4 linked regions of the Pelodiscus sinensis genome follow. The protein of the gene in region 1 interacts with the protein of each later gene in a pairwise test. Links are inferred from orthologs where the notes say so. Each region holds a gene or a part of one and is shown on either strand. Other genes may lie near its edges. The genes, in order: TRIM69, FKBP1B, IYD and ASNS.

What was found.
Region 2: the proteins of TRIM69 (region 1) and FKBP1B interact in binary tests that used the Homo sapiens proteins (3 or more experiments, as listed by UniProt). The two-hybrid records come from large-scale screens. The link is inferred for Pelodiscus sinensis from reciprocal best matches to the Homo sapiens genes TRIM69 and FKBP1B.
Region 3: the proteins of TRIM69 (region 1) and IYD interact in binary tests that used the Homo sapiens proteins (3 or more experiments, as listed by UniProt). The two-hybrid records come from large-scale screens. The link is inferred for Pelodiscus sinensis from reciprocal best matches to the Homo sapiens genes TRIM69 and IYD.
Region 4: the proteins of TRIM69 (region 1) and ASNS interact in binary tests that used the Homo sapiens proteins (3 or more experiments, as listed by UniProt). The two-hybrid records come from large-scale screens. The link is inferred for Pelodiscus sinensis from reciprocal best matches to the Homo sapiens genes TRIM69 and ASNS.

Annotation. Positions count from the first base shown.
Region 1 is NC_134724.1:36,834,029-36,841,711, forward strand, and holds the start of TRIM69 (E3 ubiquitin-protein ligase TRIM69), read left to right. Parts: upstream 1-4,001; 5' UTR 4,002-6,517; intron 6,518-7,683. Other genes in the region: B2M (beta-2-microglobulin), read left to right, coding at 1-39, 2,201-2,214.
Region 2 is NC_134713.1:14,537,306-14,545,435, forward strand, and holds the start of FKBP1B (peptidyl-prolyl cis-trans isomerase FKBP1B), read right to left. Parts: upstream 3,571-8,130; 5' UTR 3,373-3,570; coding exon 3,336-3,372; intron 1-3,335. UniProt on the Homo sapiens protein: Has the potential to contribute to the immunosuppressive and toxic effects of FK506 and rapamycin. PPIases accelerate the folding of proteins. It catalyzes the cis-trans isomerization of proline imidic peptide bonds in oligopeptides.
Region 3 is NC_134713.1:106,746,392-106,754,730, reverse strand, and holds the start of IYD (iodotyrosine deiodinase 1), read right to left. Parts: upstream 3,166-8,339; 5' UTR 3,084-3,165; coding exon 2,897-3,083; intron 1-2,896. UniProt on the Homo sapiens protein: Catalyzes the dehalogenation of halotyrosines such as 3-bromo-L-tyrosine, 3-chloro-L-tyrosine, 3-iodo-L-tyrosine and 3,5-diiodo-L-tyrosine.
Region 4 is NC_134712.1:209,899,355-209,907,161, reverse strand, and holds the start of ASNS (asparagine synthetase [glutamine-hydrolyzing]), read right to left. Parts: upstream 3,507-7,807; 5' UTR 3,348-3,506; intron 627-3,347; 5' UTR 580-626; coding exon 331-579; intron 1-330.

The sequences.
Region 1 (7,683 bases):
AGCATTCCGCTCTTCAGACTCCTAAGAAAGTCAGATGGGGTGAGTATTTCACTGTATCTATTTTGTTCACATCCTCTGTCAGGAATTGCACATGGGATTTGGATTCTCTTGCTCCTGAGATCCTGCAGCCAAACTGTCCTGTTCATTGTATGGTTTAGGTGGGTTGGGCTTTAGGGAGCCCTTCAGGGTCCAGGGCAGCCAAGTCATGCTTCTTCACGGCAACGGGAAGTGGCAGTAACCTTCTCTGCTCCCCAAGCTGCAGGGCTGGGAGCTAGGCTGAAGGAGCACACTGGAGCGGGCTGGGGCCAGGTCACTCTGCTTCCTGCCACTGGCTTGAGTGCTGGGGGAGCGGGTGACCCCTGCTGCTGGTGCTAGCCCCTCTCTTCTCCCCCCCCCCACCATCTGGCTATCACCCCAAGCTCTCTCGCCTGAGTAAGGGGTGCAGTGGGTGGGGGCAGGACCTGCATGGGAAAAGGTGGGGCCTGGGTGGAGGGGGTGGCAGTCCCAGTGACCACACACCCCTAGGGATAGTCCAGTCCTACACTTGTCAGAGAAAGCAGGTAGTCTGTTTAGTCACAAATCTGGTGTATCCTAGGGTTGTTGGAGATCGTGCAATTGAACAGCCGTGTAACTGCATGAAATCTTAGGGGTTACACAACTATTGATGGTTGCTGGGGGTGGGGCTGGCAGCCAGTGTGCTTGTCATCTGGCGGCTGCTCCTTCTGTATCAGAAAACAGCACAAGGTGGCAGGTGAGACTGCTGAGCCAGCAGTTATGGAGAGCCTGCTTGAAAGCTGGCTCCCTGGGCGAATGGCTCCAGCCTGCTTACCTCACCCTCAGTACTGCTACCTCTCAATCAGAGGCAACTGCGCGGAGGGGAGGGGCAGGCAGGAGAGTCCAGTGGTTGTGTGGCGCTTTATTGAAACCAGCTCCCTGAGGGCACTGGCTCCTGCCTCCCCCGTCCCCCGGGTACAGGGAAGGGGTGAATGTAGTTGACAGTGCTTATCGGTTAATCGTATAGTCAACTACACATTGACATCCCTAGTGTCCCCCTCCCCCGTCGTTTTAAAATGTAATGTAATAGGGTGCGTTCCCCAAGTCTCGTCTCTGGGCACCTTTGGCCACCGGGCTCCAGTGGAACAGTCTCTAACTGCTAAAGAGAATGTGTACATTTAATACAATATATTGGAACATCAAGTAGCAGTGGAGGAAATGAGAGTAACTTGTAGAATTATTGGAGGTGCTGCTGCCAGGTCTGTAGAGGTACAGTAGTGCCGCTGTAGGGTTTCCCATGTAGGCGCTGTCCTGCTAACAAAACTAAACGACCCACGGTGAGCAGCATTAGCTATGTGAGCAACAGAGCCTCTCCTGTCTGTGATGGGTCGAATCACAAAAGTCCCCTTGAGTCTGCCGCCCAATATGCTGATCATACCACTGAGCCTGCCTACCTGCCCTCTATGGGACCCCAAGCCCCTGTATGGCTTTACCAGAAGCTTTGGTCTCCCCAAGCCAAGGCACAGAGTTGGGGTAACAGTCCCTGTGGAGAGCAGTATAGTCACTGAACCAGCTCACCTATAGCACTTTGGCAGCATCCAGGAGCACAGCACTCAGATGGTACTTAAACCCCCAAATAAATCTGCTTACTCTGTAGAAGCTTTACACAAGGAGCCTTATCAGTGAATGAGATGCATATCTCTGGCTCCCCCCTCCTCTGACAAGTTTACACTGGGCTTGATGATAAACACTTTTTTTACCAAGTATAAAAAGTAGGAATTAAGTGGTTGCAAGTGAAAACAGACAGATCAAAATATGTCACTAAGCTAAAATAAGCAGAACATGCCAGCTAACCCTAATACACAAAGAGGTCATTGCAGATCATAATTTTCACCCTCTTTATCTCAGATGCAATTCTTCACAAGCCAGAGTTGGTCTTTTGCTGGCTTGGGTCTAACAGCCACTTCTGTATCCTCCTGGGTAGGAAGGCAGTTTCAAAGGCCAGCTGAAGACCATTGATTGCTACCTTTTCCTTACTTTCCTGGTGTGGGAATCCTTTCTTTCTTTATTTCTCCGTCTGGCTGCTGGAGTGATAAGACCTCTCCCAGCGCTGCATTAGAATAGTTATGATTGGTAGGAGTGCTATTTGTGCAGCACAGCCTTGTCTTAGAAGTGGACTCTTAACATCCTTTGTCCTCTCTTGCAGACCCTGATAATTAACCTGCATCTTAGACGTATATGGTAAGTTTTGCATATTTAATTTGTTGCTCTCCAACTGATTTTGGCACTGGACTGATACGTGAGCTGAAGTTCAGGGATAGAAAGAAAACTTGCGCCACACTGAGGCAGAAAGGTAGAGAGGAGGAACAGGCAGCTCTATCTGTAGCTTAAGTGGTAGTTTAGAATTGTGGGTGGCCTATTATTCCATTTCTTAGCACTTGTAACAATATCATGCCCTTATGGAGACTTTTCATAAAGCTTATGACTTCACTTGACCCTTGGGAAGAAGGGTTCATTGTACAGTCACCAGACTGCCTGGTGTTTTTTCTTGGTGGATGTGGAGAGGTGGATTTGCCATTTGGCAGTCTTTATGGTCTAGCTGTGCCTCCTGAGAGGCTGGCTAATAGTGTATTAGGGTTAGAGGGACAGAAGTCACTGTAAGGCATCCTTTGTGTGTCTGCAGGCAGTCTCTTGCCTGGCAGTGCTGAAGCAACTTAGTGTTAGTAAATGGCTACAAATGGCTTTATGTGCAGCACCAGCAAATGCAGTGCACCCAGTGAGCAGGTAAGGGGTGAAGCTTCCGTTGTGGTGCTTGAACTATTTCAAAAGCTTTGGCATAGAATAGAATAACCCTTTGCAGGTGCAGCTGCCCTTGGGATCTAAAGCCTAGAGCTGCTGGGATTTGCACTGGTTTGCGGCTGGGATCTTGGAGCCAGGTTCTCCCTTAGCTTATGTTACAATAAAGAATAGGCATTTTTTAAATTAATAATCTTCCCTGCCCCTCCTCCTTTTCAGGTCTGAGGAACTCTGCCTTGCAATATGAAAAGCGCTTACACCCGATCTGTTTTCCTGCGTGCTCTTCACACCCCACTCTCACTTTGTACTGGAGCTGAATGTTTTAGCTTTATGATGATTTGTCTGGGAGTGAGATGTGGAGTTAAAAACTTTAGTGTGAAATGTTAGATGTGGGTCTGAAGCTCAGACTCATGAGCTGGCCTTGCACCCACATTCTCAGTGCTTTCTGCTGGGGGGAGGGGGGAAGGGGAGGGAACCTTTGTGTTATCTGATGGACATGCTATAGAATCATAGTATTTACACATATAAACCAATCTTGTGTTGGGCAGTCTGGCAGCTGTGCTGCAGCCACTTTAAACTGGCAGTTATAAAGGAAATTGTAAATGTGGCTCAGCCTTAAGCAAGATCCATGGGTCTTGTAATCCGCCCATGGTGTGCTCATGATATTAATCAAGAATTTGAATTGCAAAATTGGAAGATTTTTGTCTTTCCTGTAGCGTCAGAATATAAGAGCCCTAACAAGGTCCCTGGAGGCAGCAACAGTCCTAGCCAGTTATGGAGTATTGAGGTCTACCAGGGTCTGGGTGCAGCATGTTGCCAGAGGCATTTGGGGGGGCAATAATGACACTTTCAAGAACTCTTGGCTACAGCATTCCTTTTTACAAATGCCAATCAATAAAACTATTGCCAGTTGCATACACTGATTTATTGCGTTAAGTCTAAATTTTGTGGACAACCTAGTCCTAGATGGATCTGTTCTGCTAATTGAAGAGTGTAACGCTTTGTATGGTTCTTAATTGTATATAATGATACTTTAATGATACTTAAATATATTTTAAAACAATCAATCCTGTGGAAGTTGTGGTTTCTGAAAATGGAGAGGGCATTTCTTGCCTCACATTGAGTACAGCAGGGGGTGTGGAGTATCTATTAATGGCCTTGCTGTAAGCGGGACTGCTCAAATCTGTTTCCCCTTGCTGGTAAAGGTAAAAGTAGGCAGTTTTGTTCCTAATCCATATACTCAGTGAGTTCTGAGACTTCCCTTCAAGTCCTGTGTAGCTCTGCTCAAAGTACAAATCCTTTGCTTTTCCCTCTGAACCAACTGTGTTTGAAGGCAAATGCTCTGTTTGACCGATGAACCACACTGAATGAAGTGATAGACAAGAATGGTCTCTGAAGTCAGTGTGTGTGAAGTGGAATTCCTGGGGGGTGAATGGAAATGCCATCTGAAGGTTGGGCTTAAAAAAAAAAAACATTGACTTTATGCCCTGAGGAGGGGGTACCATTGTCCCTGGATTATCTGACCCTGAAGGCTGGACCTCAGACCCAAGCTGTGCAAAACAGGGTGATCTGGGTTAAGGTTCATAATAGCCTCAGCTGGGAGGGACTGCAACTGAAGCCTTGTGGGGGGTGGGGGGACACAGCAAGGTAGGGTGGATCTCCAGTTTTCCTACCATACATGTAGGTTCTTTTATTTGTTCTGTAGTGCTCATACCTTAAGACTAAATGTGCTTGCTTAGAATGTGCTGTGGTAACTTCACTGGACATGTAACTACTTGATCACCTGAGGAGAGCGCAAGCACCAGCACCAACTTTTTTGAAATAGTCTGTCTTGCTGAGGAAGGAACTGTGCAGCCTGGAAAACCCCTTCTTGGGAGGGGAAGAATTGCTTGTAGACTTTTCTGGCACTTTGAGCCTTGCTGGGTGAAGAACACAACTCCTTTAGCATTTAATTAAAAAAGAATCTGAAATGACAAGCTTCCATGCATAAGCTTACATTAAGGTCTGTACTGATTTGGTCTTTCAAAATAGCAAAATATTTAAACAGCTGGGAAAAATGAAACTAGATGGGTGAAGTTCAGTTTCTCTAAGTTTCATTCAAGTTTCACAAAACTGCCTCTTGCTTGAAGAGATCCTGCTCCTTTGCAAGTTACCTGCCAACTTAGGTGTTCTCACAAGTGTACTTGTGCTGTAGAAAGGCAGGATGATCCAAGGTTCCTTTCACCTGAAATTGACAGAGCAGTTGGCAGCAAAAACTTGACTGGAATCCACTTCTGAATTGTTCTCTGGAGTTCAGGTATGTCAAGAAACAAGCTGAAAGGAATGGTGCACAAACAGAAGTTCTAGCTCCACCAGAACTCTTGGCTTGAAGGGGAAATCACTGGGTGAACTGTACCTGTTATGATTATGGAAGTGTCTTAAAGAGCAAGTGTCCAATATAGAACTACTTGGAGGCCAGGTTGGAGCCCAGGATTCATAGGCAACTTCTTATCTTTCTTCCCCCCCCCCCCCCCCCCCCCCAAGGTTCTGTGCTGAAATACAGGGTTTGCTCAGAGGTTCTCTAATTACACAGCTTTAACCGCAGGCTGTGTAATACCTCCTTTTCTAAAAACACAGGAATCAAGACAAGCTGGCATATTCTAGTTGCCTTGGAATTTATCTGTAGTTTAAAACACAAGGGTATCAAATTATTCATCCTTGCTATTTTAGGCAGTTGGAAAAGTAGAACAGAATGAGAGTAATAACTTGCTTTACTAGACAGTTTCCAATCCCTTTCCTGCATTGTTACTCATGAGTGGAAGGTGGCACTGTGTGGGTAGCAAAAACGAGGGAGCTACTAGGTCTTTACTAAAACTCTATGCTTTGGAAGGTGAAACAAAAAATCCACTGCATTGTTATTAATTATGTACTGGAAGTTCACCTTTAACCTTTATTATGCAAGTAGTAAGTATCATTACATTATTACCACTGCCTGACTCTATTGCTACAACCTACCTATTCTCCCTAGGTTCCTGTGACCTCATGGACTTGCACCAAGCAGCTAATGTTTGCACAGCACGCTTGGGGTATGTTTGTACTGCAGTGTTATTTCAGAATAGTGGATGTTCTAAAATAAAGCGCATCTACACAGCAAGCTGTTACTTGGACATAATGTCAAGCTGGAGGAGTTTTTACTCCAACACTTGTAACCCTCATCTCATGAGGAGTAAGGGATGTTGAAGGGAGAGTGTTCTTTGACTTCTTGTTGTGTAGAGCATGCTGAAATCCAAATGAAGCTGTTTCCACTTCAGCTATGGGATTGATGTAGCTGAAGTTGCGTAGCTTAATTTGACTTTTGCCCTGCTGTGTAGACATGCCCTAAGATTGTATCTACCCATTTGCTTTCTCCACTGACTAGCAGAGCTCCCAGGAGGAGTCCCAGATTCAGCAAAATTCTCCTTCTTTGACCTTTCCTCCGACCCTCCTGTCCTTGAGGGCTGCTGCCCCATAGGGCTTGACTCCCCTCCAGCACTGCAAAGGGACCCTTTCGCACAAGGTCGCAGTGGGTGGTCAGCTTTGGTCTGGCCTGCAGGTGTGTGCCCTCGGCTACATTTGAGTGCCATTGTGACCTGGTGTATGGGGGCAGTGGTCCAGAGCTGTAACCTGCGTGGTAGCTAGGCCGGGTCACAATGTCCAGGGTGGAGAGCTGAGCCTGCCAACTCCTTGGGCTAGGAGTTGCTGCTGTGGGGTGAGTATGGGGCTAGCTTCCTTGTCAGTTTCCCTCTGCCAGGGAGATAGGACCCATCCCAGGCTAACCACATGAAGTGTTGGGCAGTGTGGGCTAGTGCTGAGAGTTGTTGCCTCTGGGCTACAGAAACCTAAGCAATTGGAACGCTTTCATCCAGGACAGCTCTGCTGGGCAAGGGGCCATCCTGGGAAAACCTGGCTGGGGGAACCCTCCTCTTGCTGGTCCTGTTCTCTAGAACCTTTCCCTGCGGGGAGAGAGCTAAGTAACTGTCATTCTACTGCCCCCCCCCCCCCCCCCCCCCAACTAACTGACCTCCTCTGAGAAACCTCCCCTGTACTCCAGGCCCCTCTCTGCACACCACCGGTCTGCTTTGGAATCACACCCGGACAGCACCTGCCTCTGGCTGCCACCCTCTTGCAGCATCTGGGGAACAACCTGCCCCGTGTTGCACTTACCCACATGTAAAACCCTCCCTGTGCCGTTTCCTGGGGCGGCGCTCGCTACGGCCAGAGCTGGTGCCGTGACAGCTGCCTTGTTTCACGTCTCCCAAGTCTCTGTCAGACACGGGCCTGGTCCCAACCTCGCCGAGAGCCAAAGCCACTTAGGGTAACGCTCCCTAGGTTCGATGGGCCTAGTCCCTAGGGTTTGCTGAAGCCAATCACCTTGGGGTGGATCTCCCCCGAGACAGGGGGCCTGGACTCATGGAGATCTATCCACCACCTTGCTGAGGGGGTGGGTGGGGACAGCGTTGGTGCTATATCTCGGGGGCAGGGTTTCTCCCACGGAAGAGCAGGATGTGGGGGCAGGCCGAGTACCCTGAGGTGCCTTGAAGATGTGTGAGATAGAAGCACCCTGGGGTGAGTCTTCAGTACAGCTGCTGCCTTCAGTCTGCCAGTGCCTTCCTCCAGCCAGTGCGCCCTGTGCCCCGCTGCTGTTCCCTGCCGCTTGGTGTGTGGTGTGCCACTGTGGGTGAGGCAGCCTGTGCCTGCCTTCCCCTTTGCTCTGGGACTACCAAGCCACGGTACAGGCTGCTGGCAGACGGAGGGTTTCCTATCTGGCTGCACAGCCTGGGGCTTGCATCTAGCTGGGGGCAGGCCCTGGGCAAGAGAGGGGCTATCCAACTCCCTCTCCACAGTGCTGGAGGAAGAGGAAGCTCCTCCAGAGGA
Region 2 (8,130 bases), on another chromosome or scaffold:
ACTCTTCCTCTGCCTTCCCTTATTCCTCGTAAAATTAGGGTTACAGGAGTCGGAGTAAGAAGTCCTCCAGCTCGACATTATGTCTAAATAATCGCTTGCTGTGTGGATGCGGACTATGATGTTATTCCAAAATAACACTGCTGTGTAGACTCAGCCTGTGCTGATTAGGCCTTAACTGGAGTATTGTGTCCAGTTTTGGGTACCACATTTCTGGAAAGATGTGGAGAAACTGGAGAGGGTCCAGAGAAGTGCAACAAAAATTATTAAAGGTCTAGAAAACATGATGTATAATGGAAGACTGAAATAAATGGGTTTCTTCAGTCTGGAAAAGAGAAGACTGAGAGGAAACATGATAGCAGCTTTCAAGAATCTACAAGGATGTTGTAAGGAGGAGGGAGAAAAATTATTCTCCTGAATCACTGATCATAGGACATGAAGCAATGGGCTTAAATTGCAGCAAGTGAGGTTTAGGTTGAACATTAGGAAAAGCTTCCTAACTGTCAGGGTGGTTAAACACTGGAATAAGCTGCTTAAGGAGGTAGTGGAATCTCCATCTCTGGAGATATTTAAGAGCACGTTAGATAAACATCTATCAAGGATGGTCTCTAATCTAGACAGTGCTTGGTCCTGCCATGAGGACAAGGGACTGGATTCGAGGACTTCGCAAGGTCCCTTCTAGTTCTATGATTCAAAGTTGCATGACAATGTGATCCTATCAGTCTGTGCTTGTGGTCCTGCTCCAGAATTACTGGTCTATGCAGAGGGCACGAGCAGAAATACTAAAAGTCATGAGGTGCATCAGCTAGTTTGAGTTTTCCATGTCTATATCATCCTCCTCTTCCATCATTAGCTCTGTCAGGTGACTTCAGTGGATCAGAAAATGCCACCAAAATGTCCCCCAGCATCTCATGAAAGCTCTCCCCAGTTCCTGAAACAGGAGCAAAAGCAAGCAAGAGAAGTTCTTCCAATGATGACTCCATGTTCCTGGTTCCGATTGTTGGGAGCATGTAGACCAAACAGATGGATCAGCAGAATGCGTTGGTGGGCTGCAACAACTTCCTGTGATAAGTCGGATGGACAGTCAAGTTTTCCCATGATGTGCCACAGACAGCCAGAGAGTGGACACATTTGAGGAGTGTGCTAGGTAGCCTGGGATATGATTGGTTCCACTTGGAGGTTTAGGTTGTCTTGGTGGTACTGGAGCCCTGGTGTGGGGCCCAGGGTCAAAAATTTTTAAGTTAAAAGTCACGGATGAGTGTGGATGCTCAAACCCTGAGCTTTCAAAGCCAGGGTCTGTGAATTCAAATCCAACTACTCCTGGGCTTATGCTGACGCTGCAGTGTAAAAATACTCTGTGTGTCTGTAGAAAGCCTAGCACTGTGGGGCCCTGAGCTCAGTAAGCACTACTTTCACATCCCTACCGCCAAATATGATGCAAATACAATCCATATCATTCAATGTGGAAAGAGATAAAAAAGAGTATGATACAAGTCATCAGTGGCTCATATTCCACCCTGGCATAAATTGGTGTAATACCACCAAATCCATGGAGACACATTATCTTATACCAAGGCTGAATTAGGCCCAATGATGTTAAGACCTTCAACTAGTCACTATAACAAATCAACTTCTGAGTGGATTTGATGGCAATAGAACTTACTGGTTTTGGTTTTAATTACACTATTTAAATCTATTGGATTGGATTAAGCTTTGCAACCAGGCCAAATCACATTTATAACTTTATTTTAAAGAGCATCTTTCTTATGCACCATATCCCAATACATTCTAGAGATAATTAAGAAAATGAGAAGGCTAAATTCTGCCCTCACTAACACTTACGATAGAATAACAGTGGAGTTACTCTGAATTTACAGCACTACAAGTGAGAGCAGAATCTGACCCACACAGCTAAACAACAGTAGAGGGAGAAGACAGTTAAGAGACATAGGCAAGGGGTGGGAAATGATGTTGGTCCAACAGAGTTAAGCCAAGGATGAATTTGGGCCATAACATAGATACGTATGGCTCTATATTAGTAATGATCAAAGATCCCAGAAATCTGTTTGCCACAGAACAATGTGAGAAAATGCAACATTTGTGTTTCTACAGAGAATCTATAGTTTTTACATTTTGTGGAAAAAAAATAAAAACATGTCTAGTGGAACCCCAGGGGAAACTCAAGCTCAGCATTTTATTTTAATCACAGAGAAAAAAAAATCACAAGGATTGTAATGGGTTTTTTTTTAAATCAGGAACTTCTGGGAGTTTTATCACAAAAACTATGATCCCTGGTAATGACATCTGTCTTCAAGAGTTAGGGGAAGATGCTCTAACACCAAAGCAGAGTAGCTATTATTTTGATTTGAAAAAACCAAGCCCATAAAAATCAAAGATTAATACACTCACTAATCTGGAGCCATTACAAGTGTTACAGGTGCAATAACAACATTTAAAATGGGGGAGAAAATAGCTGATCCGGTCAAAATGCTGCTTCCGTGTGAAATGATTCTTGACATAAATGGCCTACTGTTCATGAAACGATTTGGCAATACATCTGTGAAACTTTGTTACCGTGCGTGTTAAATGCCAGCTTTTGCCACAGCCACACACGCTAATCAGCAATCATTTATTATGTTGATTTCCACCCTCTCTCTACAGAAATTAACTGTCTTGCTGCTACTGCTCCAATAATGTCTGGTCCAGAATGCGCTTCGGAAGTGAACTTGCTTTAGCTGCTGAGTGCTAAGGCTCACATTTTAAGGGGGTGTGCTCTGGACTATCATTTGCTCTCATTACCAAATTACTTCCCTGCACTTGGATTTATGCAGCTGTCAGCAAATGCCATTTAAATGTCCCAAACCATTCGCTACCTCTGCTGCTGCCACCAAAGGAGCAGCAGACACCGCAGCCTATGAATCCCAGAGAACCTGGTCCCCTTTCCTCGTGTGCTTCTGATCCAGGAGACTTTCCCCACCAGACCCTCAGGCTTCCCGCCCCCCATCCTAGGAATGTCACCCCCACACACACCCTTCTTTCCCTGCAGTCTTTGATTTCTTCTTCAGCTGCTGGACCCTAGGTTCCCCTTCATCTGGTCTCTGATTATCTTTGGAGTCCAGAGCCCCTGGGGCTGCAGGACCCCAGACTCCTTCCTCTTCTGGTGCCCAGAAAAACCGGACTCCCTCCTCTCACATTTCTCTCAGGCGGCGGCACCCGCGCTCCCCTTGACTCCCCTCCCCGCCCCCCGACGCCCTGGGTCTGCATTGTCTCCGGCTCGCGCCGCGTGCCGCGGCGAGCACCCCGGTCAGCACCCCTCACGAGAGCGAGCAGGTCCCTACCGTCTCCAGGGGAGATGGTCTCAATTTCCACTCCCATTATTGCACGGCTGGTCTGCGGCAGAGACCGAGCAATTCTCGCGGCTGCTTGGGCCACCCTCTGTGCTCAGCTGGGCACTACCCCACGCCACGGACCCTCTGCTGCATGCATTCCCCTGCCGAGCTGACTGACAAGGAGCACCGCAGCTGCCCGTCACACGCTGCCAGCCAATGCAAAAGCTGGGACGGGGGGGGAGCTCCCTACGCTGTCACCCAATCCCCCTTCTCTGCTGCACAGGAAAGGCCGGTCCCTCCCAGGGCTGGGAGTTGGGGGAGGAGGGGCAGGCCTCTCAGGCTGTAGTTCGCTGGGATTTGCTGCTGCTGGAAACATTTAAGGATTTGGCACTTCAGTGCTATTCCCTCCCAGCAAGGGCTTGCTGCTTCCTCACACCGCATATGCTCCTTCAATAGCTTTGCAGAAATTGCATCCCTATGTGCTGGGGAGTAAGCTATGCGGGCTGTCCAGAAGGATGCATTGCTTCCTTCAAGGCAGCTGATACCAGCTCAGTAGTCCCCAGTCCAGTGGTACCAGACCCAGTTTTGGTGTGTGGTACAACAAGCGCCAGCTCTCTTCCTGCTAATGAGCGTCTGTGTCACCATTGTGTCCCCACTGCCCACTGCTTCTAATTCACTTCTGTGTCCTCTCACGGGCGGTGGAGTTTGAGCTGCTCCCAACTCCATCAGTTATGCTTGTGAGATGTGCCACATGTGCCCAGGGGCTTCTGGAGACAGGGGGAGCGACAGGGAGAGCAAGGCCTGGAATCCTTACAGCACAAAGGCTAGATTGGAATGATGCTTCCCACATCTCTAGGCTGCATGCCGTAGAAGTGTTTATACTTCCTTGTTGGGGGGGGGGGGGGGGGCGAAATATGCACTACAATATCTATTAATTAATTAATTAAAGAAAAGCTGCTTTTAATGGTTAATTGTTCCCATCATGTTGGATTAAAAGTTGTAATACAGTGTAAGACACACATATTTCAGATATTTGTGTCTCAAACGTCTTTCCTCCTACGAGAATCTGTATGAATCTATTTCCATCAACTCTTAGGCTATGTCTACACTGCGAGGTTTTTGTGCAAAAATGGCTGATTTTGCACAAAAACCTGCGGAGCGTCCACACCTCAAATGCATTTTTGCTCAAGTAAATCAGCAGTAAAATGGCAGAACAGAGGACTTTTGCCGGTGTAGGTAAACCTCCTTCTATGAGGCATAACTCCCTTTTGTGCTATGGCTATTGCGCAAAATAACTGGCGCCAGAAACCCCTATGGGAAAAAGCACAGGTGCTCTGATGGCCATTCTCTGAGTGGCCATCAGAGCTTTCTTGCACAAGAGTGTCCATGGAGCATCCATCACTTTTGTGATGAGCTTTGAGGTGTGGACGTGCTCTTGCGCAAGAAGTCTGCTGTGCAGACGTAGCCTTAGGGAATAATTTTGCTGACAATTCTCTTTGGTTGTGGGAAATGGTCTGATCTTTTTTGTTTTTTAATAGGAGGAAGTGTGTCCCTCTGCGTCCAGTCTGTACAGGTCTGACATTTGACATCTGTCTTTGTAGTTTATCTTAATCGGTATATATCTGTCAAAACAGTCCCCAAGGGTCAATAATATTTCCATAGGGGTTCTGATGTTGCCTATAGGTATTACAAGGAGCCCTCGCTATTTGAGGATTCAGTATTCATGGTTTCTGTAGCCCGGTGGGGTACGCCCCAGATAATGAGGGGTGTCCCCCTCAGGGTCAGTGGGTGGCTACTCCAACCCACTACCCACAGTTCCAGTCTGAGCCCCAGTTCTAAGCGGAGCTACTGCTCTTGCAGTTTATGGGCCCACCCAAGGGCAGGGCAAGGCAGGGCTGCAGCAATCTAGTAGTCTGTAGCCCGGTCCTGGTCCAGGGCGACACTGCTATAGCCAAGCAGTCTCTGGCCCTAGTGCAGGGCGGGTCTACAGTCATTAACCAGTTAGGAAGCCAGCCCAAACACAGGGGAGGCTAGCACAGTTAAACAGGCAACAATTAAATGGCTAGAGGCCCAGCCCTTGGGCAGGGCAAGGGCTTCACACAAAGCAATCCCACCGGTTCACAACCAGTAGGTGCTGGTAAGTAGTCTGCCTCCTTGTTCAGGAGGGGTTCAGGCACCTTGCCTAGGGCTGCCAACCGCAGGAGGGGAGACTGCCACCCAATCAAGCAGTGGTAAGGGGGACGCGGGCTCTCCCTGCACCAGTGCGTCCCAGCCCAGAGCCCTAACAGCAGTCAAGCAGTCAGCTGCTGGGTCAGCAGGGATCCCGGCCCAAAACACACTGACCTGTTATGTCAGGGTCAGCGGGGGTCCACGCCGCAGCCTGCTGACCTTCAGCCAGACCACGGTTGGCTATCCCTGGGCCGGCTCTGTTTGTCCCCTCCCCCATATGGTACCTTTAGTTGGGGCAGGTCTTCAGGACAGCACGGGTTGGAGTCCTCCAGCCAGATACGCAGGCCCTCCAGGTAATCCTCCAGGAGGGCGCCCGGTGGCCCTGGCCAGCCATATGCTTTCCCCAGGTCCGGTTCCTTGCTGGGTTGGGTTGAGCTAAGCAGGCTTCTGGCTCCCCAGCTGTCTGGGACGAGCAGGCCTCTGGCTCCCTTGCTGGCTGGAGAGAGAAGGCTTCTGACTCCCTCGCTGGCAGGTCCCCAACTGGCCTTGCGGGAAGGCCTTTTATATCCCTGGCCCCAACCTCGGCTTCCTCCAAGGTGAGTCATCCAAGTGAGCCCACCATGGCTCAGGGAGGGGCGTTTTCTCCCTTCGGATCAGTGGGTGGCCACTCCAACCCACGACAGTTTCGCATATCCATTGTGCACTGCGCCGCACCAGCCCAAGTACATGATGCAGTGTGATGATGCTTTTTCAGTGTGCTCTACTAAAAAAAATTATGTGCACTAACTTACAGCAGTATTTCAGTATTAATAGTATGATCCCTCTGTGGAACGGAGCCTGAAAGTTAAAAGGGAAAATGAATGATATCCACATTTCCCAAAGTCACAGTCCTATGCAGCAAAATATAGTCAGAATGTATCTATACTGAGATTTATCTGAAAAATCTCTTACTATTGCTGTATCAGTGGGATGATGGCTCTATCAATGGCTCTATCGATGACAGCAGAAGTATGAGAATAGATTGGCCATTTTTAATATCATTTGCCATGCATGGAGCAAGTCTAAATGGAATAATGGCAAAAATACAGGCATCCAGGCTACATGATTACTCCCACTATTGCTAACACCAGAGAGAAAATACCCATACAGTGGTGGAAGATTTCCCTAAAACTGTACACAGAATCTCAGGTTTGGTCATCACTTGCTACAGAAACCAAAGCATATTTTAAACACCCTTCTCTTCTATTCACTACACTGGGAAAATGACTGGTTGAAAATGGATCCTGGATTCCTCAGACAGTTCTCAGCCAGTATTGAATATGGTTTAACTGCTAGAACAGACAGAGACAAAACATCTTCTTCATTCCTGATGGAACTTGCCATCTTCCTCAATTTCTATAATGGGTTTTGTCCTATCTGCACTATCAGCCAAACTGTTTTCAACACCTACTTGGTCATGTCCCAGTGTCTGACACGCCTTGCCAACAATTAGGTGTGCAGAAGGGGGACAAGCAGGAGTGTGGATCCTCTAATAATCAGTGGGAGCACAGAACTTTTCTGGCCCCAGGGCCATGGTGGGGAGAGCAAGATCATATGGCCCCATAGCCAAAGTGGGACCTGATAGCTCCTCCAGCCCTGGGATTGCCAAGGGGCCACAAAATGTGCCCTCCAAAAGCAGTAAAATTTAAATTTGTGCATGCACCCTGCTAACAGTAAATAATTTTCCAAATGTAAATGGTTACAGTGAAGACAAGGTTGTCTAAGTGATGTTTAGAAAGTTCAGTAACTGTTTGTCATCAAAACGGTATAATTATTCTGCTAGAAATGTCATTAACCTCTTCTCTCTTTTACAAGTCACAATGGATTTTCAAATGAGAGTGATCTAACTGAGCGTGAAAACTGTAACAAAGAACATTTAGCAATGCAAAATGCCTCTAATTATTTGATAATGTGGTGTGTTCAATGACTTCACAGTAAGTAAATTTCCATTCTTACTCAAAGCCAACAAAAAGTTAGAATTTTTTTTTATTAATAACAACCTAAGTGAGAGTCAATCACTAAAATCAGGAATAATTTGGCCAATGAATGATGAGTCAGAGAAGGAGAAGATCCATTAGATCATTCAAACCTCTTTCTTTGCCAAAACAGGATTCTTCCCAAAATATGTTTCCTAGTAGGCCTCTGCCCAGTCCAATTTTAACTGTTCCAAGCAGTAGAATCCCACCATATGCCTTAAGAGACTATTCCACGTCTGAATACAGATCACCCTCAGCAAATGTTCCTTCCTGTGATGGGTGGAGAAGTTTTATTGTCAAAGGAAAGTATGGAGTACTCATTGGACAATTTGCTTGGTGTTTCCAAGAGGGAGGGCTGGGGAATGATATATGGTGAGGGAGGAAATGAATGGGGGTCTGTTAGGCTATGTCTAGACTACAATGATCTATCAGAAAAAGGTACACACAGTTTTTCAGAAGAGGCTTTTTCGAAATATGACCCATCTACACTCCTCTTTTGGAAAAGCTCTTCTTCCTCGTGGAAGGAGGAAGACAGGGCCTCCAAAAAAGCACATCTGCTCTTCCAAAAAAAAAAAAAAAAAAAAAAGAGCAGATGCGTTCCCTGTATGCAGCAGAGTAGT
Region 3 (8,339 bases), on another chromosome or scaffold:
GCGGGACAGCCGCTGCGCGTCTGGGCTGTCCCGCTGCCCGCGTGCTCCGCGGCTTTGTTCAGATTCTCTCTGGTCTGCTGGGGGGGCTTACCCCCCCCCCCCAGCAGACCAGGGAGACGCGGAGCAGCTTTTCTCGCCCTGGAGGACGCGGGCTGCAGGACCGCGGCGCATCTGGGCCTCCCACCGCTCCCGTCCTCCGGGGCAAGAAAAACCCCGTTCGTAACTGCAGATCCAACATAAGTCGGATCTGCGTAATTCGGGGACTGCCTGTATAGCGAAGCAGCACAATACCTAGCATAGATGCAGCTATGTCGATGGACGAGAGACTGTCAGTTTAGCTAGTGTCATTTGAGGAGGTTGTGTTATTATGCTGCATACATGTCCAGCTAATATATCTATACTGGCAAATCATTTGTAGTGTAGGCAGGGCACCAGCATAAATATAGCTATACTGGTCTAAGACACCTTTATGCAGATACCACTGCAGCCACTCTAGGGAAGTTAACCTGCAGTAGCTATATTAGGACAGTTATACCGGGGCAATTTCTAGTGTTGACATAATCTTAGAACTACTTGGTCCCATTCAGCTAAGACTTTCCACAAAACAAATTCTCCTGTAACTACAGGTCAGACCTGAGATATTTCAGGTAGAAATGAGCCTAAGTCAGTGAGTGAAGTTATTTAAATAAAATAAAGTTTATAGTCAATGTAAGTTTTACTACCGACTTGGGAGTATGATCTGACCTTTAATTATGGCATTATTAGCTCAATAAATCACTACAGGGAAAGCCATATTCTTATCTCAGTTGTACCTAAGTCATGCAGGTTTCCATGTGAAGCAGAGCAGAATTTTCTCAGAGAATGTTACATCTTTGTTCTTTTAACTTCTCTGGAGATAAAAACAGGTGCGTGTTTTCCAGAGACATTGGACTTTAAACTGTACTGTACATAGAGGAGTGATTGCTTGTTGTTCAAAAGTGAAAAAATCCTGCAATACCGGGGTGGATGTTTATTGTGTTAGAGTAAGCAGAGGACAGTTATCTAAAAATCTTCCTTTTTGTAACAAGACAAAAATATGTGTTGTGTATGAAAGTTGATTTTAATTAACCTGAATATTTTGAACAATATTTTAAGTTGACCCATTTTAAATTACTGGTATTTTTAAAAAAAAAGAAAAGAGAAGCATGTAAAAGTGTAAAAAATATAAAACATTTTAAATATGACACTTTGGCACTAAATCCCCTCTTGAAGGATTTAAAATGTTTTTTCTCGTTTAGAAAATGTACATTTTAAACTGATGGAGCCATGCGCACTCCAAAGTGCCACACCGGGAATTCACATATCACTTTAATTAGCCACAGGGATTTTAATTTGCCACAGTTTAATTAGAAAATTCAAGCATAAAATGATAAAGGGAGAGGACTTTATTAATTTTGTAGAGGATTAGGTTTTACTTTGTGTAAGGAGGATATGGTAGATGAAGTGATTATTGTAAAAAGTTATAGATAATTTAGGAAACAGTGACTTATAACTTAATGAGGTTCCATTATTGAGATTTTGGATATACATACTAGTAAATTAAACTTTAAAAAGTTTGTCAAATAGACAGGTAATATGCATTAGCAACAGGCAAAGGAGCAGAAAAGTGGTTGAAGTTTGAAGAGCTGGAGACGTGGGCTCTGAGACAGCATGTATCATTATGAGATAAAATCCTAAACTTAAAGCTTTAAACCCATAGTGACTGAAACAGTTGTTACATCAAATGAGAGTTTTTAAAAGAGCTCTAAAATTAGAGAGAGCAAAAATCTGCAGCATTAATTTAAGAAGAAACATACATTCAAAAAGCACAAAGGAGAAAGTGAACATTTTGTATGCATATTCACTTATGTACCAATTCTGCATCAGGATAGACCAGAGAGTGAGTCCACACAGGTACTGGAACCTTCACTAATGGCTCCCAGTGTGAAATCAATACCACATTTTGTTGGTTCAAATTCTCTGCCTGCCTATTTCTGGAAAAATCTGACCATCTCTGTACTTCCAAGCAGATACCAGTCCTACAGTCCTAACATAAGGGTATCAATGTAAGCTGTGTGTGCACTACGACTAAACAGTTGAGCCACTTATACAATTAAAGAAGATTTTTATTTTAAAAAATGTTATATATTTATGCTTTCATAAACAACAGGTGGAAATGAGCCAACAGATCTGACAAAATTTGGCTTCAATTATGACAACAATGCTCATAATGTTATAATGTATGTATATATACAGTCCGGAGTATATCTATTCACATGTCCCAAGATCTATATACAGAGATCATCTATTCACATGTCCCAAGATCTATATTCAGATCGCCCTCTTCCATAGAGATAGTGCATCTGCCTGCTCTTTCCTCAGACCCCAAGTAAAGCAGGTTCAGAAGACACTACATCCCTAAAGCTTTCTTTTGCATGGGAACCTGTCATAGGGGGTGCATGCTGCATCAGACACTAGCTACAAAATCTGATGACCCAAAGGGATCTAGAGAATTGCAGGCTGGCCCATTAGCTTGTTTCATTGGGGATCAAGACCTACCCCCCAGTAAAAGGTATGGGAATAAAACTCCAGCAGAGGAATTAATGGGCATTTTCTCTTCTTTGACCCCCACCTCCTTTACAATTTTTTTCCTGCAGGAGCAAGCAATCTTACCCACAATTAATTATTTAAGATAATCCTATTGCCCAGTATTAACTATGTTTGGATGATCTGACTTAAAGAACTGCAGTGCACTGTAGCTGCAAAGTTGTGTGTGCGGACTAACTCTGTCTCAGTTTAGAGGATCATTTCTTCCTTATTCATACTGACAGATGAAAATTAGACACAAAAATGCTTAGTGGGATTCTATTTTCCTTACCTTCTTCATCTACATGAAGGTCAGTGCTGTCTCTTAGGTCGTCATCAACCCATGGGCGAGATTCAGACTTACTTTTAGTCTCACTCTTCCCTTTTTTGCTGCTTTTCCTGTTGCTTTTCAGTATTATGCCAATTAGAACACATATAATTGCTACAAAGACTGGTGTTAGGGGAGAAAAGAATTCCATGGCCTGCAGTTTAATTTAGAAGGGTATACTCTCCCTTTCCCTGATAGTTTCTTTTACAAAGAGAAAGAAACTGGGGGTTGGTTGGAGGTTGATAAGCAAAAAGGGGTGGAACAAAACATGTAGTGAGAGAGAGGAAAGTTCAACTCTCTAATTCTGTTGTTTTCCCAGAAGCAAATGCTCCTTGTGGCTGCAGCTCTGTAGTATACTTCATTTGCTGGCACCCTCTTTAAAATCTGACATAGTCGGTCAGTTTTCAAACTACTGGATCTCAACTCTCTCTCACCAGGCTCTTAGCAATGTCTTTGCAGTGCTTGTGTCATAGTTAGGGAATGGTGGGAATCCTGGTGCTATCACAATTGCTCTTTATTTTGTTTTCTATGACCTTTCTTTTGATTTTGTGCAGCGGCAAAGCCAACTTTATTTAGGTATTTCTTTATCAGTTTATTTAATATGGGGGATAGAGTTAAATTGGAGTTAAACTGCTGACTATCACTTGAATGAGCAGTTGTATGCCATGACTAAATTTGTCCACTTCCAATAAAGTGAGGTACATGAGCTCCAGTCCAATTACAATTTTTCTTTTATTTATCAATGCAATTCCTACATAGCTGGGGAGGCAGCTATATCCCCCCCGCCTTCCCTCTCTTCCACCAGCCATATACACCTGTGTTATGGTCTTGTCTTCTGTTTGTTTTATTTCAGTATTGCAAACCCCAAGCATGCAAAAAGTTATAAGACAGCCTCCACCCCAAAAAATTGAGATTAAAATAATCTGTAGGTTTTATCTCCTTTCTGAGAGTTTAGTTTTCAGTGTTTCAGCTTCAATTTTATTACAATCCTTAGGGCTAGAAGCATACTTCTCCCAATTCATAGATTCTGTGGCCAGAAGAGATTCTTGTCATCATTTAGTCCAATGGTGGGGAACCTATGACCCAGCCTGCAATTTGCCTTGATCCAGCCTGCGGGATTTGGGGCCATAATTGTGGGTCTCTCTCCAGATACCACCACTGTCATTCCCATTGGCCAGGAATCTCAGTCAATGGGAGCAGTGTGGGGGGGATGAAGCCTGCAGAGAGGGCATTTCTGCCGATACCCATGCCCTCCGGGAACTGTACCAGATAGGCTGCCAATCCCCTGCCCACACCCTACACACCTCCACCTCACTTCTGAACCCTCCCTTCCTTCTAGACCCCACATCACCCAAGTTTGTTCCTGCATTTTCCCTCCTGTACGAAATCCTCATCCCACTCCTGCACCCTCCCTCCTCCCCAGACCTTGAACCTTCACCCCCAACCTGTTCCTTCTCCTTCACATTGAACCCCTCATTTTTCATCCCAGAGCTTAGAGGAACCCACAAAATCTACTGGCCTGGGACCCCCAGAAGCATTATTTTTGCCCTGATAAGCCTTGAGCCTCAGCACCATACCCCTTCTCTGGGGTTAGAGCTTCAAGGGAATGAGAAGAGTGTATTTTTTTCCCCCTGCTTTTAAGTTGGGGACCACATCTGTGCAGGTTTCTTTTTCTCCTTTTCACCTAGAGGCCAGCTCAGTGAGGGGTTTTTGTGTTTGTTTGGCCCCCAACTGATTTTTCTGTGGGTCAATGCCCCCAACCCAAAAAAGGTTCTTCACCCCAATCTAGTCTAATCTACTGTATAACACAGACCATATATTTTCCCCAAAGTAATTACTAGAGTAGATCTTTCAGGAAACCAGCCAATCTTGTTTTAAAAGTAATCATTGATGGAGACTACCATGACTCTTAATAAATTGTTCCCAAGGTTAATTGCACTCACTTAAAAAATTATGCCTTACTTCCAGTCTGATTTATCAAGCTCACAAGTGGGCAATAAGTGGGCCACGGGTTGTATGCGGTTCACCAGGATTAGCCTCTGTTGGGCCACCAGATACTTTATCCCATGTAAGATTCCGAACTACTGGGCTAACCTCAAAGCCCTGGTCTACGCTAGGGAGTTATTTCCAAATAACTCCCCTAATTTTGAAGCAGAGCATCCACACTACCAAGCTCATTATTTCCTACTTTCCACGAGGAATAACACTTGTTTTGAAATAAGTTATTTCAAAATAGCAGTAGTGTGGATGCGCCTCGTTTCAAAATAGCAGCAAACTACTCCCCAGTGCTTCCTGGGGCTCTAAGTTGAGGTAGCACATCCACAATAAGGGAGCCTATCTCAGACTAATTTCGAGGCTTCCCTGTAGAGTGGACATACTATTTCAAAATAGTTATGTTGGGAGTTATTATTTTGAAATAAGTTATTTTGAAATAATTTCCTAGTGAGAGAGCACCACCACTTCCCTGAATGGCATCTAAGGACATGTCTACACTGGGGGAATTATTTCAAAGTAACTCCCCTTATTTTGAGATAACAAGGTGAGTGTCCACACTACCAATCCTGTTATTTCGGAGGAATAAGCTTATTTTGAAATAGTTATTTTGGGAATTATTTTTTTAAATAATTTACTTCAAAATAACCTGGTAATGTAGATATAACCTAAATGCCCCAAAAAGATTTTGGGGGTTGATTCTATTTGGAAAACTCATGTCTCATTTATGAATATTTTTGGGTTGATCCATTTTTCTGTGCAATTATTCCCCCTCCCCCCATTTCTCCCAGCTTTACTTCCAGATTGTTTTAAGTAGTTTGCCATTCTTAAAGGAACACTGTCAGCTTACTATTTGAAGGGTACTTCATCAGAAAGTGGATTTTAAGGTACCTTTTATTTATTTTTAATTCTTAAAAAAAAAAAAAAAAGCTCAGTGTTGGTCTTCTCCTACATTGATATACAGAAGAATCTTTGAATGGGCCAGAGAACACCACTCAAACATTCTTTGATACCTCTATCCCACGAGTTTCCACTCTACTTCTTCTTTCTGCCTAATGTCACTTGATTTTTTTGCTCTGCTTTGCTGTTAATGGTAAACACTCTCTTCCAAGTCATGGGGAAAGGCATGTACCATTGAAAAACAGCAATGCTGGCTACACACAATACGCTGAAAAAACCAACTGGGCGGGGGGGAAGAGAAACATTCGTGCTCTCTCTTGCTAATTTCTTTCAGTTACATTAATCTTCGGGCTATTGGTAATAAGAACAGCTCCAAAATTAGCTTGTCAAATGGAAATGTGATTTTGAAAATTGATCATGTCTATTTAAGATGGCTAATGATTAAACATTAATTAAAAAAGACTAAATATGGTAGACTATATTCAGGAAAGCAGTAACTCTATAAACAATTTGGGGTCATGGGGACAATCAATTGAAGATGAGCTCCCAGTGTGACTGTTGAATGTATACACAGAGAAATACACATTAGAAGCAGAAGGGAAGCATTACCTCTGCTGCATGTAGCATTAGTGAGACCATCACTGGCGTACTGTGCCCAGAGAAAGCAGTCAAGCTAAAGGTTTAGTGATAAAGAAAAAAGAGGCAGAGTATAACCTGTTGAATGGTAATGTTTTTAAGAATTACGTTTTTGATACTGAGAATTTTTTCATCATCTCTTTCTCATAAAACAATTTTGACATTCTCTGAGGAAATGGTTTATTTATTATTCCCTTGCAAACCAGAGAAATACAGCGCATATTGCATTAAATGCCCTTCAGTGTTAATTTAGGCAGAATCCATAATCATAGCAAGACAGTTAACTTCAATCTGACAGAACTCCCACAATGCCCCGGTTTATTAAAATCTGATTTAGTTTCATTAACTCCATCCATAAACATTCAAACAGTAAACACCAACATGCACTCAGGGATCGGTGGGGGATGACAGTCAATTTAAAAAATAATTGTATTTTCCTAGTCTCTTTAATAGCATGTAATACAGGTTTACTTCAATCTAAAGTTTACCTATAAAATAACAATCATCATCATAACAGACAGTGCCAGAATTGTATGGTCACCATTTATGCTCTAAACCCTGAATTTCTACTGGTGATTTTTGTTAACCAGTCATAAATGTTAAAAAAAAATATCATTTTTGGAAAAGCAACATTCCCCACACACAACTAAAAACTAATCAAGCTGTTTCGCCCACAGGGTGGGAAGGATGAAAGACTTATTATAATTTTCTATTTTGAAATACCCAAGAAGTGCTCAGATACTTTGGAGACCATAAGTACCTGGTTGGAAATCTACTGACCTTCATATTGCAAGCACTTGCCCAGAGTAATTTCTTTTCCATTTCTTATTAAGTTAAATGTGCTCATTTTTCTGCTATGAAAAGAAAACAAAAGCTTAGTGAACCAGATATAGCCTTTTATTTCAAAGCAGATGAATTCAAACATGTGTTAAATATGCATAATAAGCAATAGTTGTTTAGAGGCCTCAAGTGAAAGCAGAGCAGTCCTTCAGCACTCATCCAAGGTTCTGAAATTATGCAAATGTGTCCCAGTCAGCAACTCTTCAACACATCCCCTCTCCTCTACCTTCTTCATAAGATGAGCATGTCCCTCATCTTTCTACTTAACGATTCCACTTCCTTTAAGAAAGCTTCACAATAGCATCGTGAAGTCTCCATCTTTCCATATGAGGGCAGAACAACAGCCCATTTTGCCCAGTATCCTCTCTTCCAACAATAGCCAGTGCTAGGTGCTTTAGAGGGAATGAACAAAACAGGGCAATTATTGAGCGGTCCATCCCCTGTCATCCAGTCCCAGCTTCTGGCAGTCACAGGCAATGTTCCCTCCAGTCTTTTCCATCTATTTGCAGATTTTTTCCATCCATGTGCAGAATATATTTTTATGTGCACCAAAGCACATGCAAATGTGCACTACCAATAGAAACAAAAACCTAGCTGTGGGTGCTCTGCTAATCAGCTGGGTGGCATTTAAATCTCTCAAGTGGCTGCACAAGCACACTGCTTACAGAGAACAATAGTCACAGGTTTAGGGACACCAGAGTATGCATCCCTGATGATCTTGGATAAAAGCCACTGGACCTATCCTCCATGAAGTTATTTAATTCTTTTTTTAAGCCAGTTATACTTTTGGCCTTCACAATACCCTATGACAAGGAGCTCCACAGGTGTATTGTGCATTGTGTGAAGTCACACTTGCTTGTTTGTTTTAAACCTGCTGCCTATATATTTCATTGTCCCTGGGGACAGACACCACCAGCTTCGCAATGGATGGACCTGGCACCCTGGGGAGAAAGGACACATAAGGGGGGACCAGAATGTAGGAAGGTTGGGGGGCTCCTCCAGTGCTACGGTGGATAAGGTACCTGTTTGTATTTGTGTT
Region 4 (7,807 bases), on another chromosome or scaffold:
AAAGAGAACTTTTTTTAACCCTGAATTCTTCAGTAGTAAGCACTGACTATGTGCTTATTCCTCGGAAGCTTAAAACTGGAGTAGATTTCTTTACTAACGTATTTTTCCTTTTGTCATTTATACTTAGTCACTATTTACTATAAATATTTGAAGGACTAATGTATTGTGTGTGTCTCTCCTACACTTATGAATCAGCTCCAGATTTTCACCCAGACACTTTGTTTTTGAAGCTGCATCATTTGCTCTAATATTCTAGCCCACAGTGTTTTAAAGAAGTTCCAAATCTTCTCCGGCACTGAGGTACCACAGATTACGGTCTATTTTTTTTACCTGTTTGAAGTTGTAGATTTCTCCATTGTAACACAGCCATAAATATGGAAACTTCTTCACCCGAATAGGCTGCATGCCATATAACTGATCAACAATTGCAAGACGATGGAAACCAAAACAACAGTTGGTGAAGCCATTGACGTTTTCAAAACGAAATGCATCAGGACCTCGGTGGGCTATTTTCATGGCACTTAGACACTGAACAGAAAGGCATTCATCACTTCCAAAAAGGGCCCAGATACCACACATTTTGAAATTGGTTGTGAGCTGACTCTCAACTACTTAAAATGAAGAACCTGTTAACAGAAAGATATGTCATCATACAACATGCTTTAGCTACTGCTGATCCTAGGAAGCATATTTAAATTTCTTGACTACAGATAATTAAGTACTGACTTATGAAGAAAGCAACTTGGTTTAGGCCCTATTGACAGAAGGTTGATTAAAAGCCAACAACCCGGAAAGAGGACATTAGCAAAGCTTTCACAGGACAACAAATCAGGTTTCAGCTCAATTTTAGATATGGTAGATGTGTGTTGTGAGTATGTTGGTTATTTCTTGCTTACAGAACACAGACAGTCTCATATTTACAGCACAGTATCATAGATTGAACGGATATAGTCAGGAGTGGGAATAAAACATCATTTCCATTAGTCCTGTTAAAAGCTACTGTTCTAGCCAAAAAGAAAAGAAAAAAAGAACAAAGAAAATTTGTTAATGTTTTCCTGTAGCTCTGGGGTGGGGAACCTTTTTTCAGTCTGGGGCTGCTAACCCACAGAAAAATCAGTTGAGGGCTGCACAAAAAAACACCCCTCACTGACATGGTCCCTGATTGAGGAGAACACACTCCCCACATTGCTCTCTCACACCAGAGCCTAGGAAGGCCTAAGCTAGCAGATTTTGTGGGTCCCAACCCCACGGAGGGTTGCAGGGGATAGAAGGCTAGAACACTAGCTCTGATTCCTGAATGCTGGGGTGGGGGATCCCCAAGCCTCAGGAGATGGATCCAGACAAGCCCCGGGGCCTTAGATTCCCCACTTCTGCTATAGCATGGGATCCCAAACTGGGGGGCATGAAGAAATTCCAGGGGGACGCGAGGCAACCCAGCCCTCTCCCCATCAACACCCTCCTCCCCTAAGTTTTGCTGCTATTTTTGTTTTTTGGCCCCAGTCAATTCCTTTTTCAATTTCCTTTTTGCTCAACAAGCCTTCCTGCTATTTGGGGGGGGGGGGGAGGGGGCATGAGGGTTTCTCACAAATCAAAAAAGGAAAAGTTTGGGCACCACTGTGCTATAGCAAGGAGGTAACCCTAAAAGAAATACATCCCTCACAATTTCTAACAAGACACTGCAATAGAAATTAGATATTAAACTTAATCAAGTTCTCCAATGGACGGGACTAGATCACATAAGGTTGCATATGTACTAAAGATGTTAAGAGGAGGGTAATTTGCTAATCATATAGTTGACAGAATTTTTATCGACTACATGATTAGTCGATAAGGGAAAAAGCACTCACTCCCAGCTTGCACAGTCCAGGAGCTACACTCGCAGCGACTCTGTAGTTTAAATGTAGTAAGATCCGGGAGGGCAGGCAAGTGCAGAGTAGCAGCAGGAGTCCATCCCGCACCCAGCGCAAGCCAGGATTAAGCCAGGCTTCCTGGCCAGCCTGAGCAGCCCATCTGCTCCAGCAGCAGCCCCTTCCCATAACCCAAGCCACCAGAGACAGGCGCTGCTTGGCAGTAGCCTCCCCTCACCACCCCCTTGCCTCTAACAGAGGCAGCAGCATGGGAGGGGGGTGAGGCAGGAACAAGGGGGTGGGGGCAGGATCCCATTTAATAAGTTAAACCTAAGATTTAACAGGTTAACTGATTAAATGGTATTTTACATCCCTATAGACAAAACTGACTGCATAGGCAATTGAGCTTTTTCACTATTTTGTATTTACTCTATTGTGTGTGGCCTTCACTAAGCACCAAGGTAGGAAACTTTGTTGTAAACACAAAATAGGGACATAGATTTGTCAAGCCATAAAAACTGGCTGGCAGGCCCAGAGATAGGTGTAATTACTTCAAAACTACTTTCAGTTTAATTGACGCGATTTTTTTAAACCCTTAATTCTTTAGTAGTAAGCTATGTGCTTATTCATCGGAAGCTTAAAGCTGGCGTAGATTTCTTTACTAACTTATTTTTCCTTCTGCCATTTATACTTAGTAGTCACTATTTACTGTAAATATGTGAAGGACTATTGTATTCTGAGTCTCTCCTGTACTTATGAACCAGCTCCAGATTTGGCACTGTCTGGTTAACGCCGCATGACAACCTTTTCCATTTTGATTTAGTTGGGATTGGTCCTGCCTAGAGCAGGGGGCTGGACTTGACCTTCTGAGGTCTCTTCCAGTTCTATGATTCTATGATTTTCTTAACCCTGGAGTAAAATGTTTGTGTGGGAAGCCCATTTCATTGAGTACAATTTCATGTGAGTCAGATCCTGTCCCCAAGAATCTGAACACGCGCTGCCTTCTTCAATTCTTCCGGCCTGATGCAATTCTGCAAGTCTCTTTTCTCTGATGCAACCTTAGTGCCGCTTTGCCCAGCGCTGAGTCAGGAAGCCTCTCCCTCACCGGGGCTGCAGCGCCTGAGGGTCCATGTGGGCACCGGGCTCGCCCCGCACAAACCCGCTCCCAGGATCGGGACCTCCGCCCGCGAACTTTAAGGGGAGGGGGCAGGGCTGGGGCTGCCTCTACGTCATCACCTAGCCAAAGGGAGCCCTCCGCCGTTAGCGGCTCCTGTGGGCTCTCAGCAGCGCCGCCACGTGCCGCCAGCCGGGACGGAGTCTGGAGACTCGGGGCCCGCGGGCAGAAGCAGCAAGTCCACGTGCCTCGCGCGCCCAGCGGGGGAGCTCGCCCCGGCCCAACCGGGAAGGAGCTGGGGGGAGGGGGTCGCGCTTCCTGCCCAGCCACGCGGGGCCCGCCCTCCCCGGGCACCGCAAACTGCCGCCGCCCTCCCGGCCCGTTACCTCTGCTCCGCCTCCAGCGCCGGGCGAGGCTCGCTGCGGCCCCAGGCAGAGAGGCTGCTGCTCCAGAGGGTCCGACGCTCCGCAGACAGACGCGGGCACTGGCCTGCCGGTGGAATTGGCTCCTCCTCCCGTCCGGCTGCTGCTGCTGCTGAAACACCGAGCGAGGTTTCATCATGCGGGCCCCCCCCCCCTTCGCCGCAGCCCTTCCGGGCTCCGCCCCCTCTCGCTGCCCGAGCTCCCCGCACATCTGCTGTATTGTCTCTTTCTTTTCCTACCCTGCTGCCACGGGCTGGGCCACAACATTTTGGCACCTGAAGCGGGAAGCTCAAATGACGCCCCCATGCCCGGGCCAGAACTTTGAAAATTCTCAAATCTGCCTTCTTCCAGTTCTGCTCCTCTTGTGGCACTTCACCATCTCTGTGCCTCTAGAGCAGAGAGAATACATATGCACCAGCAGCAGACACAATTTTCTGGGTCCTAGTAGTGCTTCGCTTCCTTCCCCCCCAGTCTGGCAACTGAGGCAGCCACCTCAGTTCCCCTCATGATTAGGCCAGCCCTGCCCAGCCAGTTCTTTCATCCCCGAGGCAGTGCAAGGCAGGAAGGGGCTGTAAATCAGCCCATAAGGAGCTAAAGGGCCAGCTGCCTCTCCACATAGTCTCTGTTAATATAGGGCGCTAGGAGCGGGGGAAAGAGACACTCTGCTGCTGCTACCAGATTAAATACAAATACTAAAACGGTAGCATCAAAAATTAATGATCGCTTAAATGTCCCTGCTAGATGGAGCTACTGAGGGCATAGTTAGCTAATGGTGTTTCCGGGTGAGAGGAGCGCAGGGAGGCTACGTGTTCAAGCCAGAGCCAGGGAGAAGGGGAGAGAAGACAAATGGGGGAGAGGAAATCAGAATCTTAAATGTCTGTGTACAATGTGAAATGTGTGGGGAATAAGCAAGAAGAATTCATAATGCTAGTATATGCAACTATGATGTGTGTTTCCTAAGTTTCCTATCCTTGCAGGTAAGGCGGGCAGAGTGAGGGGACTGTTAATCTCCCCACAAGGAACTGAAGAGGCACTCCCCTTCCCACATACTGTTTAATTCAGTAAGGCTGTGTCCAGACTCGAGGGTTTTTTGAAAAAAGTAGCCTTTTTTTGAAAAAACTTCTCCGGCGTCTAGACTACAGCCGCGTTCTTTCGAAATTAAACGCGGCTTTTCTTTCGACGGCGGAAAACCTAATTTCACGAGGAAGAACACCTTTTTTCGAAAGTGCTCGAAGAAAGGCGTTCTTGAATGCAAACAGGGCTTTTTCAAAAGAGAGCGGCCAGACTGCCTGGGTCCTCTCTTTCAAAAAAGCGGCTTGCTTTTCGAAAGAGGCTTGCAGTCTAGACGTAGCCTAACTGAGCAGGATGAGCTTATCCCTTAGCCCAGGGGTTCCCAAACTTTTTGACATGGGGACCAGTAAATCCATTCACGAGCTTTTGGAGAACCAGGAACATATATTTGCATATTCATTAAGCAAATGATGAATATTCAAATAAGTTGTTTCTGGTCCTCCGAAAGCCCCCAGTGCCAGCGTTAGCCCGCTTCCTCCCCCCCCCCGCTTCTCCTCCCGATCTCCCCAGTTCAGCCCTTCTGCCCCCATCCAGCCCTGCTTCCGGTGGCCGGTTCCCCCTGCTCCCCACCAATCTCCCCCGGTCGGCCCCACTCCCCCGACGACCCTCCTCGACCAGCCCTGTTGCCCCCATTCAGCCTTGCTTCCAGCAGCTGGTTCTCCCTTCTTCCTCCTCCTTATCTCCCCCGCCCAGCCCTGGTTCTGCCACCTGCCCTCCCCGATCTCCGCAGGACAGCCCCGCTACCCCCAATCCTGCTTCTGCCAGCCGCATGCCTGGATCTCCGCAGGACAGCCCGGCTGTCCCCAACCCTGCTTCCCAGCGGCCGGTTCCTGCCCCGCCACCTCCTCCCAGCCTGCTCCGCTCTGCTCCCCTCCAGGCAGCCACTAGGCACGCTGAGGCCCAGTATTTTTTTTCCCGTGGCCCAGTAGCGGGCCGCGGCCCATAGTTTGGGAAATGCTGCCTTAGCCAAATTATTACAAGCGGCACCCCGGCCAGCTGCTGGGGAGCTGACTGCTGCCCTGTGCTGCTGCCTCTGTATCAGAGGTAGCAGTATGGGGCAGCAGTCAGTTCCCTGGGAGCAGGGTGGTGGACAGGAGCATGTAACCACTGACATTTTTAGCAGTTACATGGTTAGCCAATTACATTTTAACATCCCTAACTATGACATCGTTGGCATCTCAGAGACGTGGGATAATACGCATGTCTGGAATATTGGTATGTACAGCTGGCTCAGGAAGGACAGGCAAGAGAAAAAGATGAGGTGTTGCCATATATTAAATATGTATACACTTGGATTGAGGCTGAGATGGAAATAAGACACAGACTTCTCAAGGGAAAGGCTAATAGGGTTTAAAAAACACAAGGATGATGTCATGATAGGGGGTCTACTACAGACAACTTACAAGGAGAAGTGGATGAGGCCTTTTATAAACCAATAACAAAATTATCCAAAGCACATGATGGTGATAGGGGACTTCAACTGTCCAGATACCTGGGGAAAATAACATGGGGGGCACAGATTATCCAACAAGATCTTGGAATGTATTGGTAGAGCCAATGTGTGGATACAAAATCTGTATTTGCAATAATGAGCCGTGGATATAGGCACTGAAATCTGCAGAGGTGGAGATGCAGGATATAAAGCAGATACTGGCAAATATGAAGAGGTCTAGAAACAAAATGTGTATCCTCATACATATCTGCAGAAGTGAGCTGCAGATATAAAGCAGATATCCATGGATTTGCGGGGCTCTATGTATTGGAGACATTTTTTTTATTTCAGAACATGGAGAAAACTACTAAGGGAGAGGCTGTTCTAGATTTCATTTTGAACAAATAGGGAGGAACTGGTTGAGAATTTGAAAGTGGAAGGCAGCTTGGGTGAAAGTGATCATGAAATGATAGAGTTTTAAGGACTGGTAGGAGAGAGAACAGTAAAATAAAGATAATGGATTTCAAGAAGGTAGACAATTAAAACTTAGGGAATTGGTAGGTAAGATTTCATGGGAAGCAAGGCTAAGAGCAAAAACAATTGAAGACAGTTGGCAGTTTTTCAGATACATTGTTAAGGGTACAAGAGCAAACTAGTCCACTGCATAGAAGAGATAGGAAGTCTGGGAAGAGACCATCTGACTTAACCAAGAGCTCTTGAATGATCTGAAAATCAAAAACGAATTTTACAGAAAGTGAAAACTAGGTCAAATAACAAATGATTAATATAAACAATACCACATATGTAGGGGCAAAATTAGAATGGTCAAAGCACAAAATGAGCTCTCACTAGCTAGAAACATAAAGGGTAATAAGAAAATATTCTACAGAGGCATTAGAAGTTAGAGGAAGACCAAAGGCAGGGTAAGCCCTCGATGAAGAGGGAAAAACAATAACAGAAAATATGGAAATGACAGAGGTGCTTCATGACTTTGTTTCAGTTTTCACCAAGAATATTGGTGGTGATTGGACACCTAACAACGTTAATGACAATGAAAATGGGGTAGGTTCAGAAGCTAAAATAGGGAAAGAACAAGTTAAAAATAACTTAGAAAAGTTAGATGTCTTCAAGTCACTAGGGCCTATTGAAATGTATCTTAGAATACTCAAGTTGATGATTCAGGAGATATCTGAGCATTTAGCTATTTGAAAAGTCATGGAACACAGGACAGATTCCAGAAGACTAGAAAAGGGCAAATATAGTGCCCATCTATAAAAAGGGAAATAAGGCTAACCATGGAATTATAGATCAATCATCTTAACCTCTGTACCTAGAAAGGTAATGGAGCAAATAATCAAGGAATTAGTTTTCAAACATCTAAAAGATAAGGTGGTAAGTAAGTCATCATGAATTTGTCAAAAACAAATCACATCAAACCAACCTAATAGCTTTCTTTGACAAGGTAACAAGTCTTGTGGCTAGAGGAAAAGTGGTAGATGTGGTATATCTAGTCCTTAGTAAAGCATTTGATATAGCCTCACATGATATTGTTATTAACAAACTAGGGAAATACAACCTAGATGGAGCTACTATAAGCTCCATCTATAAGGTGGGTGCATAAGTGGTTGGATAACTGTTCTCGGTAGTTATCAGTTGGTATCATTGGAAGGGTGTGAGTGGGGTTCTTCTGGGATCACTTTTGGAATGGCCTCTATTCAATATTCTCATTAATATTTTAGGTAATGATCTGATTCTGAATAAGCTGGAGAAATGGTCCAAGATAAAGAGGATGAAATTCAATAAGGAGAAATGCAAAATAGTCCACTTAGGAAGGAACAATCAGTTGCAAACATACATAGTGGGAAATGATTGCCCAGGAAAGAGCACTGCAGAAGGGATTGAGTGGTCATAGGTAAATATG